Linked DNA regions of Callithrix jacchus. The protein of the gene in region 2 binds, or shares a complex with, the protein of the main gene of each other region. Links are inferred from orthologs where the notes say so. Each region holds a gene or a part of one and is shown on either strand. Other genes may lie near its edges.

Evidence for each region. Proteins that work in one complex are often made in the same cells at the same time.
Region 1: the proteins of DNM1L (region 2) and MIEF2 are in contact, whole or in part, in a cryo-EM structure (PDB 5WP9), measured with the Homo sapiens proteins. The link is inferred for Callithrix jacchus from reciprocal best matches to the Homo sapiens genes DNM1L and MIEF2. Residues at the interface, in NP_036192.2 of Homo sapiens: Asp190, Met191, Ala192, Thr193, Ser194, Leu197, Lys198, Ile199, Arg201, Glu202, Gly223, Thr224, Asp225, Asp228, Arg233, Val234; in NP_631901.2 of Homo sapiens: Val213, Asp214, Thr215, Val216, Arg218, Arg226, Leu230, Arg235, Val245, Gly246, Tyr248.

The regions. Positions count from the first base shown.
Region 1 is NC_133506.1:82,691,026-82,697,455, reverse strand, and holds the start of MIEF2 (mitochondrial dynamics protein MID49), read right to left. Parts: upstream 4,053-6,430; 5' UTR 3,878-4,052; coding exon 3,864-3,877; intron 2,849-3,863; coding exon 2,695-2,848; intron 2,482-2,694; coding exon 2,319-2,481; intron 1,852-2,318; coding exon 797-1,851; 3' UTR 1-796. UniProt on the Homo sapiens protein: Mitochondrial outer membrane protein involved in the regulation of mitochondrial organization.
Region 2 is NC_133510.1:38,770,973-38,776,656, forward strand, and holds part of DNM1L (dynamin-1-like protein), read right to left. Parts: intron 4,387-5,684; coding exon 4,266-4,386; intron 2,247-4,265; coding exon 2,115-2,246; intron 435-2,114; coding exon 228-434; intron 1-227. UniProt on the Homo sapiens protein: Functions in mitochondrial and peroxisomal division.

The DNA of each region.
Region 1 (6,430 bases), on a different chromosome or scaffold from region 2:
TCCCCTCCTCTCCAGTGGGGCCTGGAACAGCTCCAGTGGGATGCCCCAGCTGTGGGGTAGGGAGTGCAGCTCAGGGCCTCAACTCCCCCGGGAAGGAGGGGGCTCCCCCAGGGCCCTCGGCTGCCTGAAGAAAACACTCACCTGGTTGGAGGGAAAAGGGCCCTTGTCCTGAGTTATCAGGTGGGTGGAAAGTGACACTGAGCTACTGCTCCAGGGCTCGAGAACACAGCAAGAAAACTAAACACACAGAAGAGAGCAGGAAAACACCACCCTTTAACAGCTAAAAAATTGTCCTTTAGGGGCACCAGGTGACTCCAGCCCCTGGGGAACAGAACACACCATACCTACCACCAGGGGCACTGGACGCCTCAAAACACCTGGAGCTGGGGCCGGAGAAAGCGTGAAGTCACCTTCTCTCAGCAGAAATGGAAAGCTGGCCTTCATCCCTACCCAGGATGGCAGAATCCACATTTTATCAGTGGATTCGTTGCTGGTGATGGACAGAGCCAAGGTCCTGCGGTTGGCCCCCAGGGTTGAAAGGGTGCTTTCATGAATGGCTGGCACTCCAAGCTGCCTGAGGCAGCCCAGCCACATTCAGGTGACAGTGACCCAAGCTCTCTGGGCTCAGGGTTTACAGTTACCATAGCCCAAGCACATACCAGTGCCGTGGGTTTAAGTAAGCTACCCTCTTTTGTTCTGGCTGAAAGCTAGAAAAAAAACTCTTCAAATCCCTGCAAGGGAGGTGGGCACAGCTCCCCAGCATCAGAAAACATGCCAGTCACCTGTTCCCACCCACCTAGAGCAGCCCCTCGGGCTCCTGCAGGCCACTGTACAGCGCATAGCCAAGGTCGTCAATCTCTTCCTCCCGCAAGCTGCTCAAGAGGTTCACGCTGGGGTTGAAGTGGCAGGGCAGACTGGCCTGCTCCAGGCTGCCGATGAGCAGCTCCAGAGCCTGCAGGAAGCGCTCGCCCAAGGCCGCCTCCGTCCAGTCCACGTTGTCCTCTGCCAGACGCAGGACCACCTGGGTCAGGTGGCCCCGGCCCAGCTGCCCCAGGGCCGGGCAGCCACGGCAGACAGCACACAGAAGCAGCAGCAGCCGCCGGCGGATCCCAGCATCACGGTCATCCAGGGCTCGCAGCCTGGCAGCCTCCACTGGATACAGGTCCTGGAGCCAGAGGTTCCCCGCCAGCCCCTCCAGGGGCCAGGCCAGGAGGAGGTGGTCATCAGCCTTGGTCCCAGGGACTGCCACAAGCACGGCCACAGTGAGCTCCAGGCGCTCGTGCTGCACCTCTAGCAGCAGCTCCTCCGAGGCCACGTTGGGTAGGATCAGGCACCCAAGCAGGCTGCCGATGGCCGGCCAGTTGACGGAGGCAGCCAGCGCCTTGTGCAGCAGCTCCAGCAGGATGCGGGAGGAGAGGTAGCCCCCCACCAGGAAGCGGTCCCAGGGGCTGCTCCCTCTGGGGCAGAACTCCAGCTGAGTCCTGCGCACGGCCCAGCAGCGAGGGTCCCTCGCCACAGTGTCCACGCCCGGCACCAGGCTCCACAGGCCTGGCTCCAGTACCAGTGGCACCAGGAGACGCACATGGTCAGCAGCCCCTGCCTGCAGCCCATCGTAGAGTGGCCCCCCAGGCACAAGTGCCCCAAAGGGCAGTTCTGGAAACTTGCTCCGAAAGTAGGCCTGCAGCTCCAGGGCAATGTTGCCAGCCAGCTGTTTGGCCAAAGCCACCTGGGCTGCTGGGATGGTCACACGGTCCCGCTCGAAGGCCAGCAGCCTCTCCTGCAGTGTCAGACACAGCGGTGTTGGGGAGCTGAGCTGTAGTGTCACCTGAAGATCAGTTTCTGCAGGCTCCTCTGCAGAGTGAAGGGGCGAGGAACATGCTGGAACAGCCTGTGATTAATTAAGAAAACACTACCCAACGACTAGCTGTGTGATATCCCCGGGCCTCACTGTCCTCACCTGGGAAGGCACTCAGTCCAGGTCCTCGCTATAGTGAGTGCTTGGTGACGAGTTCTCATTGCCCCAGAGTCCAACACCCTGGCCCTATGGCTAAAATAGCTTCATGCAGAGGAAGTAGACAGGTCATGCCCCTCTGGGCCTCAGTTTCCCCATCTAAAGCTCTCCACCATCACAACGCTGCCACCTTGCTACAGGAGCAGGGCAAAGAAAAACCACCCCCATTAAATGTCTGAGGAGCTCACAACCCAGAGAGAAGCAGGGACTTGCACAGGGTCAGTCAGGGGAGAGCCTGGGCTTCATCTCTCAAATGTGACAACAAAAGGGTATCCACCAACGTGAGAGGGGAAGGAGTGCCACTCACCTGGGGCAGAAGGCGAGGGGATCAAGGGCAACATGGGCTGGCTGAGGGCAGCCGGTGGAGGCCGGGGCTGCAGGTGTGGCGTGGCCTTGAGCAGGCTCAGTTCCTTCCAGCTGTCTCCCTTGGTGTCATCCTCGTCCCGTGGGCTAGTGGCCCTGTCAATGAACTGCAGGCAGAGTCATACAGAGTAGATGAAGTCTGGGCAGCTACAGCAAAGCCCAGGGGAAAAGCAGACCAGGGTGCTGGGGTGGAGAAGCAGGTGACCTGGTCTCCCATGAAGGCCTTGGGCAGTCCCCACCCCTCCCCAGGGCCCCTCTGCAAGGCCCAACCCTGTCCTCCTCTAGGAGCTTCAGGCATGACCTGACCAGCCTGGCCTTACCCGCTTCACGGCCAGGGTGGCAATGCCCAGCACAGCAGCCCCGCCCACGCCCAGCACCAGACGGGCATTGGCCAGGAGGAAGTCCACCACGCTGCCCAGCCCCTCATCGCCACGCCGCTTCCCCCGTTTCTGGGAGAACTCTGCCATGGTCTGCCTGTAAGAGAGCCAGGGGTGAAGGGACAGCTCAGGGTGCAGGTGGCCAGGCTGGTAGAGGGGCTGCTGTGGATAGGTGCTCTGGCTGTCCTTATGCTGGGTAACAGAGCGGAGCCCATAAGGGGGGCTTTCTGAGAATTTCTCATGAGAAAGGGACCCATCCACAGGGGAGGACACCAAGGTCCTGGGAACCATGTAAATTACCTGAGAAAGGGCAGGGCTGGGATAGGAATATGGATTTTGGGGCCCCAAGTCCCCATCTCTCATGAGATGAGGGAGCTGCCAAGCCCTTTCTCTCAAAGCTGCAAACAACCCACCCCCTGGAAAGAAGCTCACAAAGGCCCTGAGGCTTGTGCCAATGAAGGGGCCTATCCTCTAGGACCGCTGACATCACCAGAAACCCGCAAGGTGGGTCTTATCACCACCACCTGTATTTTAAAGAGCTCCAGGCTGCCAGATTGCACAGTGAGTGATAAGGTCTCCAGCCCACAACTACAAGGCCTTCAGACTCTCATCCGCCCCCAGAGTCTGACGGATCCTCTGTGCCAGGTGGCCAGGTCCTTAGCAGCAGCCTCATCTTAAGGTTCCTAACCAGAGGACACAGCAGCTCTCTATGATAACCTCTTGAGAAGACCCCAAAGTCCAGAGAAGACCAACAATATTTGGGGCCCCCACCAGTCTGGGGGACCTCTGGGACCAGTTACCCCCCAAATCTTGACAGGGTAGCCCCAAGAGGCAGAACTACCAAGTCAGAGCACAGGCAGAGTGAGATGGCCCAAGCTGCCCAGGCAGGCCAATGAAGACATGCAAGTCAAGGGCCGAGGCCCCTCCGGCAGGGCAACAAGCAAGGTGACCTAAAAGATCAAGACCCAGAAAAAGGGCTGCCCAGGACCTCTGTACAGTGGGCTCTTTGGGCCTCTCAGTCTTGGTGGCGGTGGGTGATGCTTCTCAGCTGCTAGGAGGCCAAGCAACAGAGAAGGTAAGGTGAGGGCCTGGGTCCCAGCCTGTTTGCTCACCTGTAAGATGGCATGGGCAGCAGTGTGTGGTTGGGTGGGGCCCTGCACTTGGGAGGTGGAGGCAAAGATCTCCTGCGGCCCAGTCCACCAACCCCCAGCCTCACGTTCTGCGAGCCGGACACTGCCCTCAGTTCCTGGGAGCTGAGCGGCGCTGTGACCTTAGGACATCAGACGACATGCAGAACTCTCCCAGAGAGGCCTGAGCAGATGACCATGAGGTCACAGCCTGCCCGGGCACCAAGGACTTCTACCTGCCCTGCCAGAGTGTGGGTGCCAGGGGCTCAGTTGCCAGGTGACCAGATGCCTGCAGTAGCTGAAGCCTGAAGTGCTGTGTGACTCAGCCCCGGACACCCGCCCATTCGCCCCAGACTAAAAATAAGACGTTCTCTGGGGCGATCCCAGGCCAAACGGGTGACCCGCTACGGCCCCAGGGCCGGTTTCAGCCTCCTCATTCGTGACACGGGGATCAATACTGCCACCCGACCCCAGAGAGACCAGGAATCTACTTTGCAAACTGTAAAGCGCTTTAAATATTCCCAACCTGTCTAAATTGGGACTCAGACCCACCGCTTGCGGGGTCGCACAGGCCTCAGCCCACAGCCTTCCAGGTCCTAGAAGCGGGAGAGGGCACCGGTGGCTGAAAATAACCCGAGTTTGCGCACCGGTGCCCTGGAGGCCCTCTGGCCTTCCTCCTCCTCCGTCAAATCTGCCTGCCCTGGGCCTGGGCTGAGCGGGCCGCGCAGCAGCCCTAGGTGAGCGGGTGACGCCCTGTTCGCAGGGAAACCGAGAGACCAAGAGGGGAAGGGGGCCGGGCTGGGATTCGAACGCGGGCCTTGGTTCCCAAACCCTCCCGGCCTTACCCAGCGGCGACGGCGGGCCACGCCCCCGATTTGCGTTCCGTAGCGCACCAAGCCCCGGGCCCGTTGACTCTGGGGGCCGCCCCGCCGCCTTCCAGCCGTACCTGCGTCGCAGCGTCCGCACAATGACCGGAGGAGGCAGCAGGACCACGGCCCCTAAGCTCGGACCTTTCTGGGAATGGAACGAGAAGGAACCTGGAACCCAACGTTGAGGGACCCGGGGGCGGCCGCGGAAGCCGCAGGACGCAGACAAGCAGACCCTGCCTCCAATCGGAGCGCGAAATCCAGCACACGTGTTCCAAAATACTGCGCGGCTCAGCCAATGAAGGGTATGCCCCGCCCCCCAGCCAACTGACACGCTCCCTCGGGGCGGGACTCTCTGACGCAGTCTGGATTTAAAGGTGCAGGGCTGCATTCGGAGCCCGCGACCGGGTATTGTGACAGGCAGCCTTCTTAGACGCCTGTGCGTTGTAATGTGAGCGCCGAGTGTGAAGGAAGCTGTCTGGGCCCCCTTTACTTCCGGGGGCCGAGGCACATCTAACCTCTTAGATCACCTCTGCGAGTGTGTCTTGGTGGCTTCATTCTTAACCTGTGGGCCTGCGGGGCACACAGTGTGGTGAAAGCGCCTACCCCTGCCACCTGTTCCGTGCGACCTTGTGTGGGCCGTTCTCCACATGGGCCTCAGTTTTTCTCCTGTAAAATGGGGACACCAGACCCCCTCCTCCCCTGCGAATGGTGGCTAGTCATATAACAGCTGTGGCTCATGTTTTAGGGGCCTGCTATGTGTCAGCCAGGGTAAGCCCCTGCGAACAGCAGGGACCAAGACGGATGCTTCTCTTCTAGACCCTCCCTTTGGGGGACACGAGCGTAAGGGTGCTGACACAAAGTGGGAATAATAACCTGGCACACAGAATAAAACAAAACAAAACGGAGTAATAACCTGTCACTCACTGAGCGCCTGCTGTATGCTGCGAGCTACACTTGCATTCTTTGTTCATTTGCTTATGGCGACAAACTTAGGAAGCATTTTACAAATGAGGAAACTGGGCCGGGCACAGTGGCTCACACCTGTCATCCCAGCAGTCTGAGAGACTGAGACGGGAGGATCACTTGAGGCCAGGCGTTCAAGACCAGCCTGGGCAACATAGTAAGACCCCCATGTCTACCAAAAATAAAAATAAATTTAGCCAGGTGTGGTGGTGTTCTCCCAGCTAGTTGAGAGGCTGAGCCCAGGGGTTCCAGGCTGTAATGAGCTATGATCACGCCACTGCACTCCAGCCTGGGCGGCAGGGCAAGACCCTGTGTCAACAAAATAAAAACAACGCATGAGGAAACTACATCCAGAGCAGGAGAACTAGGACCCGAGGACCCAGGTGTCTCACTACCACCGGTCAGCCAAGTGCAAGCACTTGAGGTCAGGGCCAGCTTCGTCTGCTACAGCAGCACAGGGGACCATGCCTGGACCAGCGGCCTTGAAGGCCCCTGCCCTGGGACTCTGGGAATTTAAGCCTGGAGATTGCGGAAGCCTCCAGCTCCAGCACAGGGGGCGCCGGGGCAACTTGATGGGTCTGCAGCCCCCGAAAAGACGGAGAAACTGAGGCCCTAAGAGGCCTAAAGCCTACACTTCCCGGCGGAATGTGGCGGGCGCGGGCGGGTTAAAGGGGCGGGGCCGGCGTTGGCCCAGCCCGCGGCTCCCCTCACCCCTCGCCC
Region 2 (5,684 bases):
CTTATTAAAATAATTTTTAAAATACCTGAAAATTTTTACTTAGCTTTACATTGTTTGCAAAACATGTTCACACAATGAGACATCATCCTATTACCTCTACAAAATTACATTTCTGTTTTATAGATAACAAATCTCAATCAGATAATCTGAGTTAAAGTCATCTTAACAAAAAGAAAAGTGGCCTAGCAATCTGGGTAACCAAATCTACAGAAAAATGTCATACTTACAGCTCCGAAGTTTCAATATATTTTGCAGTTCCTTCAATAGTGTTACAATATTCTGTGGCAAATTTGGTAATAAGCTGGAGTAAAGTAGCACTTTTATCATCCACAGGTTCACCGTAGCTATTTAGAAGAGACTGATACTGAGCAGCTAGAACATTTATTCTTGTTTTCAACTCTGGTAAGCAATCTCTGATGTGATGCATCAGTAACCTAAAAAAGGTCAGAAAGGAAGGATTTAAAAGTAAAACTGTATATTCTGAAGCTCCAAATAAGTCAAATTTTTAAAAAGGAAGTAATGGGGAAAAACTGTCACATAATTTGTACTGGCAAGTATGATACTGTGAAATATGTATTTGGTCTTTGTCTCCATTTCCTGGCAGTTGGATCCTAAAATCTTTGGAGTCTCCAAGAGCCTAAGCATGTTTAAAGTGTCTTTGCATGATAATAAGATGACTGTTGGCTGGGGGTCCCTTGACAGCTTCAGGATGAGGGCCTAGTCACCAGAAAGGCTAAGGCATGATTAGAGGGCTGGGGCTTTTGGCCCCATTCTCCAGCCTCAGAAGAGGGGAGAGAGGCCACAGATTGAGCCGATCACCAATGGACAATGATGCTTCCATAAAAACTCAAAACGACACAGTTCATGCAGTCTTCAGAGAGTTGAACACATGAAGATTCCTGGAATGTGGAGGGCACAGAAACCTCCACATTTCTTCCTACATGCCCAACCCTGTGCATCTCTTCATCTGGCTGTTTATCTATATCTTTTGTAATATGCTTTATAATAAGTGGGTAAACGTTAAGTAGTTGTTTCCTTGACTTATGTAAGCTACTCAACAAATTAATCAAACATGAAAAGGGGGTCATGGGTACCCTGACTTACAGCCCATCAGTCAAAAACAGGCTAAAACCTGGCTTAAAACTGCCATCTAACTTCGGGGCAGTCTTGTGGGACTGACCCCTCAACCTGTGGGAGCTGATGCTATCTCCAGGTAAATAAGTGTTAGCACTGAATTAAAGGACATCCCATTAGAATCCCCTAGAGAATTCCTTGCTTGCTGTATGGGGAAAACTCCCCATGTATCTGATGTTAGAAGCATTCTGTGCCATACTGATTAAGTGTATATGAATGGGAAAAAAGCACTTTGGTTTATCCTAAATCATAAAAGCAAGGAAAAAAATGCAAATTATTTTCATATTACTGCAATTACCATAGAGAAAGTAAATCACTCAATCAATTCTTCCTATATAATTTTGGTTTCACTGACTTGTCATTTACAATTGGTACCCAGCAAAGTGAAAATTAATCTTATTAAGATCCAGGTCTATCAGTCTTCAGGGAAGATAAAAGTAAGAGAAAATGGCTTCTACTTCAGTCATTTATAAATCATCTAGAAAGGTCTTCTAGTCCCCCCACCATGAGTGGGTATTCAGAATCCAATGTATACAACTTAATTTATTTCTACAATAAGTAGGAAAAAAAGATACTCTATTTCTTTCTTTGTTTTTCCATCTCCCTTTTCTGGTAAATAGAAGATATTCTAAATTAAGAACAGATAACATGAAAATTATAAATTTTAATGCAGTTCCTGCAATGCAAAGTGGAAGTGAAGTCATCTCCAGTTCTGTCCTCAAAACTCAACTGACTCTCAAATTTTCATAATTAAATCATTTCAAAATCACTTGAACATTCATTCTAAACTACATGATGACATAATGTCAACCACCCCAATAAAAATAGAGACATCTATTCTTCAGGAACCTACTATATAAGAAACCATAAGGGAAGCTGTTAGACAACAGTATCAAAATGTAAGGAACTGAAAAGGAACCCTCTCAGACATCGACTGGTCAAACAAACAAATCTCATTTCCAAAAGGTAAAAAAAATTACCTGTTTAGAGTCCTAGCAAGATATTTTGTTCCATTTCTATTGGCCAGAGATGGATATTTCTTTTGAAGAAAAGCATACTCATCACGGATTGAATCAGTTACACTCTTCTTGTTGTTAATATCTAGCTGGCTCCTGAGGTTGAAACAGTAACAAAATGGTTCAACTTCACAGTTGTCCTCTTCCTACCTTAGATGATGACAGGGCCAGGCATTGTTCTTTAATACCTGACATGGACTGGTTTATTTAATTCTCATAATTTTATGTGACAGGTATTATTATCCCATTGTTTAGTAAGGAACTGAGGCTCACAGAGACTAACTTATCCAAGGTCATACGCTAACTGGCATAGTCAAAACTTGAACTATTTGAATTATAACTAGTGACTAAATAGTGTAGGCCTCATTATTACCATTAACTATAGACAAAAACAATAAGTAACACGTACAGACAGGTATAAAAATGTAAAGAATATCTCAGTGACCTGTATATTTTATCCATGGACAGGGAACTAATTTCTACCAAAAATTAAGTTAATTTGAAGAACAGTCATCAACAAACAAGGAACAGTGTTAACACCACTTGCTTACCTGAAAAAGGAGACAGTGGGAAATGTGAGTGGGGATGAAGGAATCAGAGTAGGGGTGGGATGCACAATAAAACAGAAGCGGACACTGGAATGGATCTTATATATCAGGTAGTAAAAACATTTCCATTTTCTTTTTTTTTTTTTAAGACAGGTCTCACTCTGTCACCCAGGCTGGAGTGCAGTTGGAACAATCAGCTCACTGCAACCTCTGCCTCCTGGGTTCAAGTGATTCTCTTGCCTCAGCTTCCCAAGTAGCTGGGACTACAGGCACATGCCACCATGCCCAGCTAATTTTTTGTTTTTAGTAGAGATGGGGTTTCACCATGTTGGCCAGGCTGGTCTTGAACTCCTGACCTCAGGTGTGATCCACCCGCCTTGGCCTCCCAAAGTGCTGAGATTACAGGCGTGAACCACCGCGCCCAGCCAACATAATCATTTTATAAAGACTTAAGACCCAAAGACATTAGGTGTCATTTAAACCTACATTGTATCTAGTTTATGGAAGACTAGAACTCAGATTTCACGATAATTTCTGTGTTTCCTACCATATGAAGGCTTTGGACTAAAAGAGATATTCATCCAGATCCAGCTCTTTAACTACCCATGTGACTTTGGGTTAAATGTGTAACCTGAGGTTTCTGATTATAAAATAGACATCAACACCTACCCACCTACCTCAGGGGATGCTGTGAGGATTCCAAGAGATACCATTTGCAAACTGCTCACAGTAGAGTGTCTAAAACGTAATTAGACACTCAATAATAGTTTCCTTTTCACAATTTTTAATACCAGCTATTTATAATTAGGATACCTTTAGTAAAATTTCTCCAAGTTACATCCTGGCAATTACAAAGAATCACTAATGCTAGGGATTAAACCAATCTATTAAAATCCTGCCACCTTAAATTCTTTCTCGAATGGGTGCACATTAGGTAATTTTTCCCTTACCCAGTGCGTCCTCATACACAGCTTAACATGATAGGCAAGAACTCTTAAAGCCTGGCCATTACGACACTTCTTCCATTTTATGGTACTGCTTACTTTAGAAACATTTTCTATTGAAAATGTCTACTGGGCCAGGGATAGTGCCTAATCCCTGTAATCCCAACAGCTGGGAAACCAAGTGGGGAGGACTGCTTGAGCCCAGGAAGTCAAGACAAACCTGGGCAACATAGCAAGACCTTGTCACTACAAAAAAATTTAAAAATTAGCCAGGTATGGTGGTAAATACCTGTAGTCCCAGCTACCTGAAAGGCTGAAATGGGAGGATCGCTTGAGCCCAGGAGGTCGAGGCTACAACAATGAGCCACAATCACACCATTGCATTCCAGCCTAGGCAACAGAGAGAAACCCCGTTTCCAAAAAAAAAAAAATTTCTATGAGAGGCTTTAGTGAATGAATCTCTTTTCTCCCTTTAGGGCAATGGATTCTTTTAGCAATACCAAATCATAGTAAAAGGGAGAAAAAAATATAGGACAGCATCACATTTCAAACAGATTTTAGAAATTCAGACTTGCTCTGAAGTGAGACTACTACTAATTCTTATTCCATTTTTAACTGCTAACCTGTTAACTACTCCAATTATTCCAAGCTTGACTGGAATAACCCTTCCCATCAATACATCCATGGCATCGGTACCCGCATCCATGAGATCAAGTTTAGTGATTACAGCTAGGGTTCTGCGACCTGGTAAATGGAAAAAGAGAAGAGGGCAAAGAAAAGAAAGAAAATGATCCATCAAATAAAACTATTAATAAGGAAAACCCTCATCTATAATCCCACTTAATATGAACTCTGTCGTCATTTTGATAATGCCTTTCTTACCAGTGCTTTTTTAAAAATAATTTTAAACATTGTGTACAATTTTAAAAATATTTCCGCCAGGCACAGTAGCTCATGCCTGTAATCCCAGCACTTTGGGAGGCCAAGGCAGGTGGATCATCTGAGGTCAGGAGTTCGAGACCAGCCTGATAACATGGTGAAACTCTGTCTCTACTAAAAATACAAAAATTAGCCAGGCATAGTGGCCGGCACCTGTAATCCCAGCTACTTGGGAGGCTGAGGCAGGAGAATCGCCTGAACCCCAGAGGCTGAGGTTGCACTGCACCAAGATTGTGCCGCTGCACTCCAGCCTGGGAGACAGAGACTTCATCTCAAAAAATACATATATACATATACATAAACATATTTCTTTCGCATATAATTTTTGTTGGCTCTTATGGCTATATTATAAGCATTTTAAAATTTTGTTTAAAATTTACATCCAGGTGATGTGGCTCATGCCTGTAATCCCAACACTTTGGAAGGCCAAGGCGGGCAGATTGCTTGAGCCCAAGTGTTCGAGACCAGCCTGGGCAAAGTGGTTAAACCCTGTCTCTACAAAAAATACAAAACTTAGCAGGGTGTGGTAGTCCTAGCTAAAGGTGAGGCTGAGGTGGGAGAATCACCTGAGCCCAGGAGGTCAAGGCTGCAGTAAGCCGTGATTGCGCCACTGCACTCCAGCCTGGGCAATGGAATGAGACCCTGTCTCAAAAAACAAAAACTAAAAACATTTACTCTTTTTTTTGGTGTACAATTCTAAGAGTTTTGACAAATGCCAAGAGATGTGTTACAACCAACTCAAGACACTGCTGCTCTACCACCAAATTTTCTTATGCTAGCCAATCAAACCTATTTTCCATTCCTAGTTTTGCCTTTTCTAGAATGTTATATAAACAAAATCAGACAGTACATAATCTTTTGAGTCTGGCTTCTTTCATTTAGCATAACGCATTTGAGATTCATTCATGGTCTTGCATATTAACAGTCCATTTCTTTTTATTGCAGAGTAGTGTCCCATTATATGGATGTACTACTATACCTTAGTTTCACTCCCCTTCTGAGAAATATGAGTTGTTTCTAGTTTTTAGAAATTATGAATAAAGCTGCTGTAGACATTTGCGTATAGTTTTTTATATGAACACTGGTTCTCATTTAACATGGTT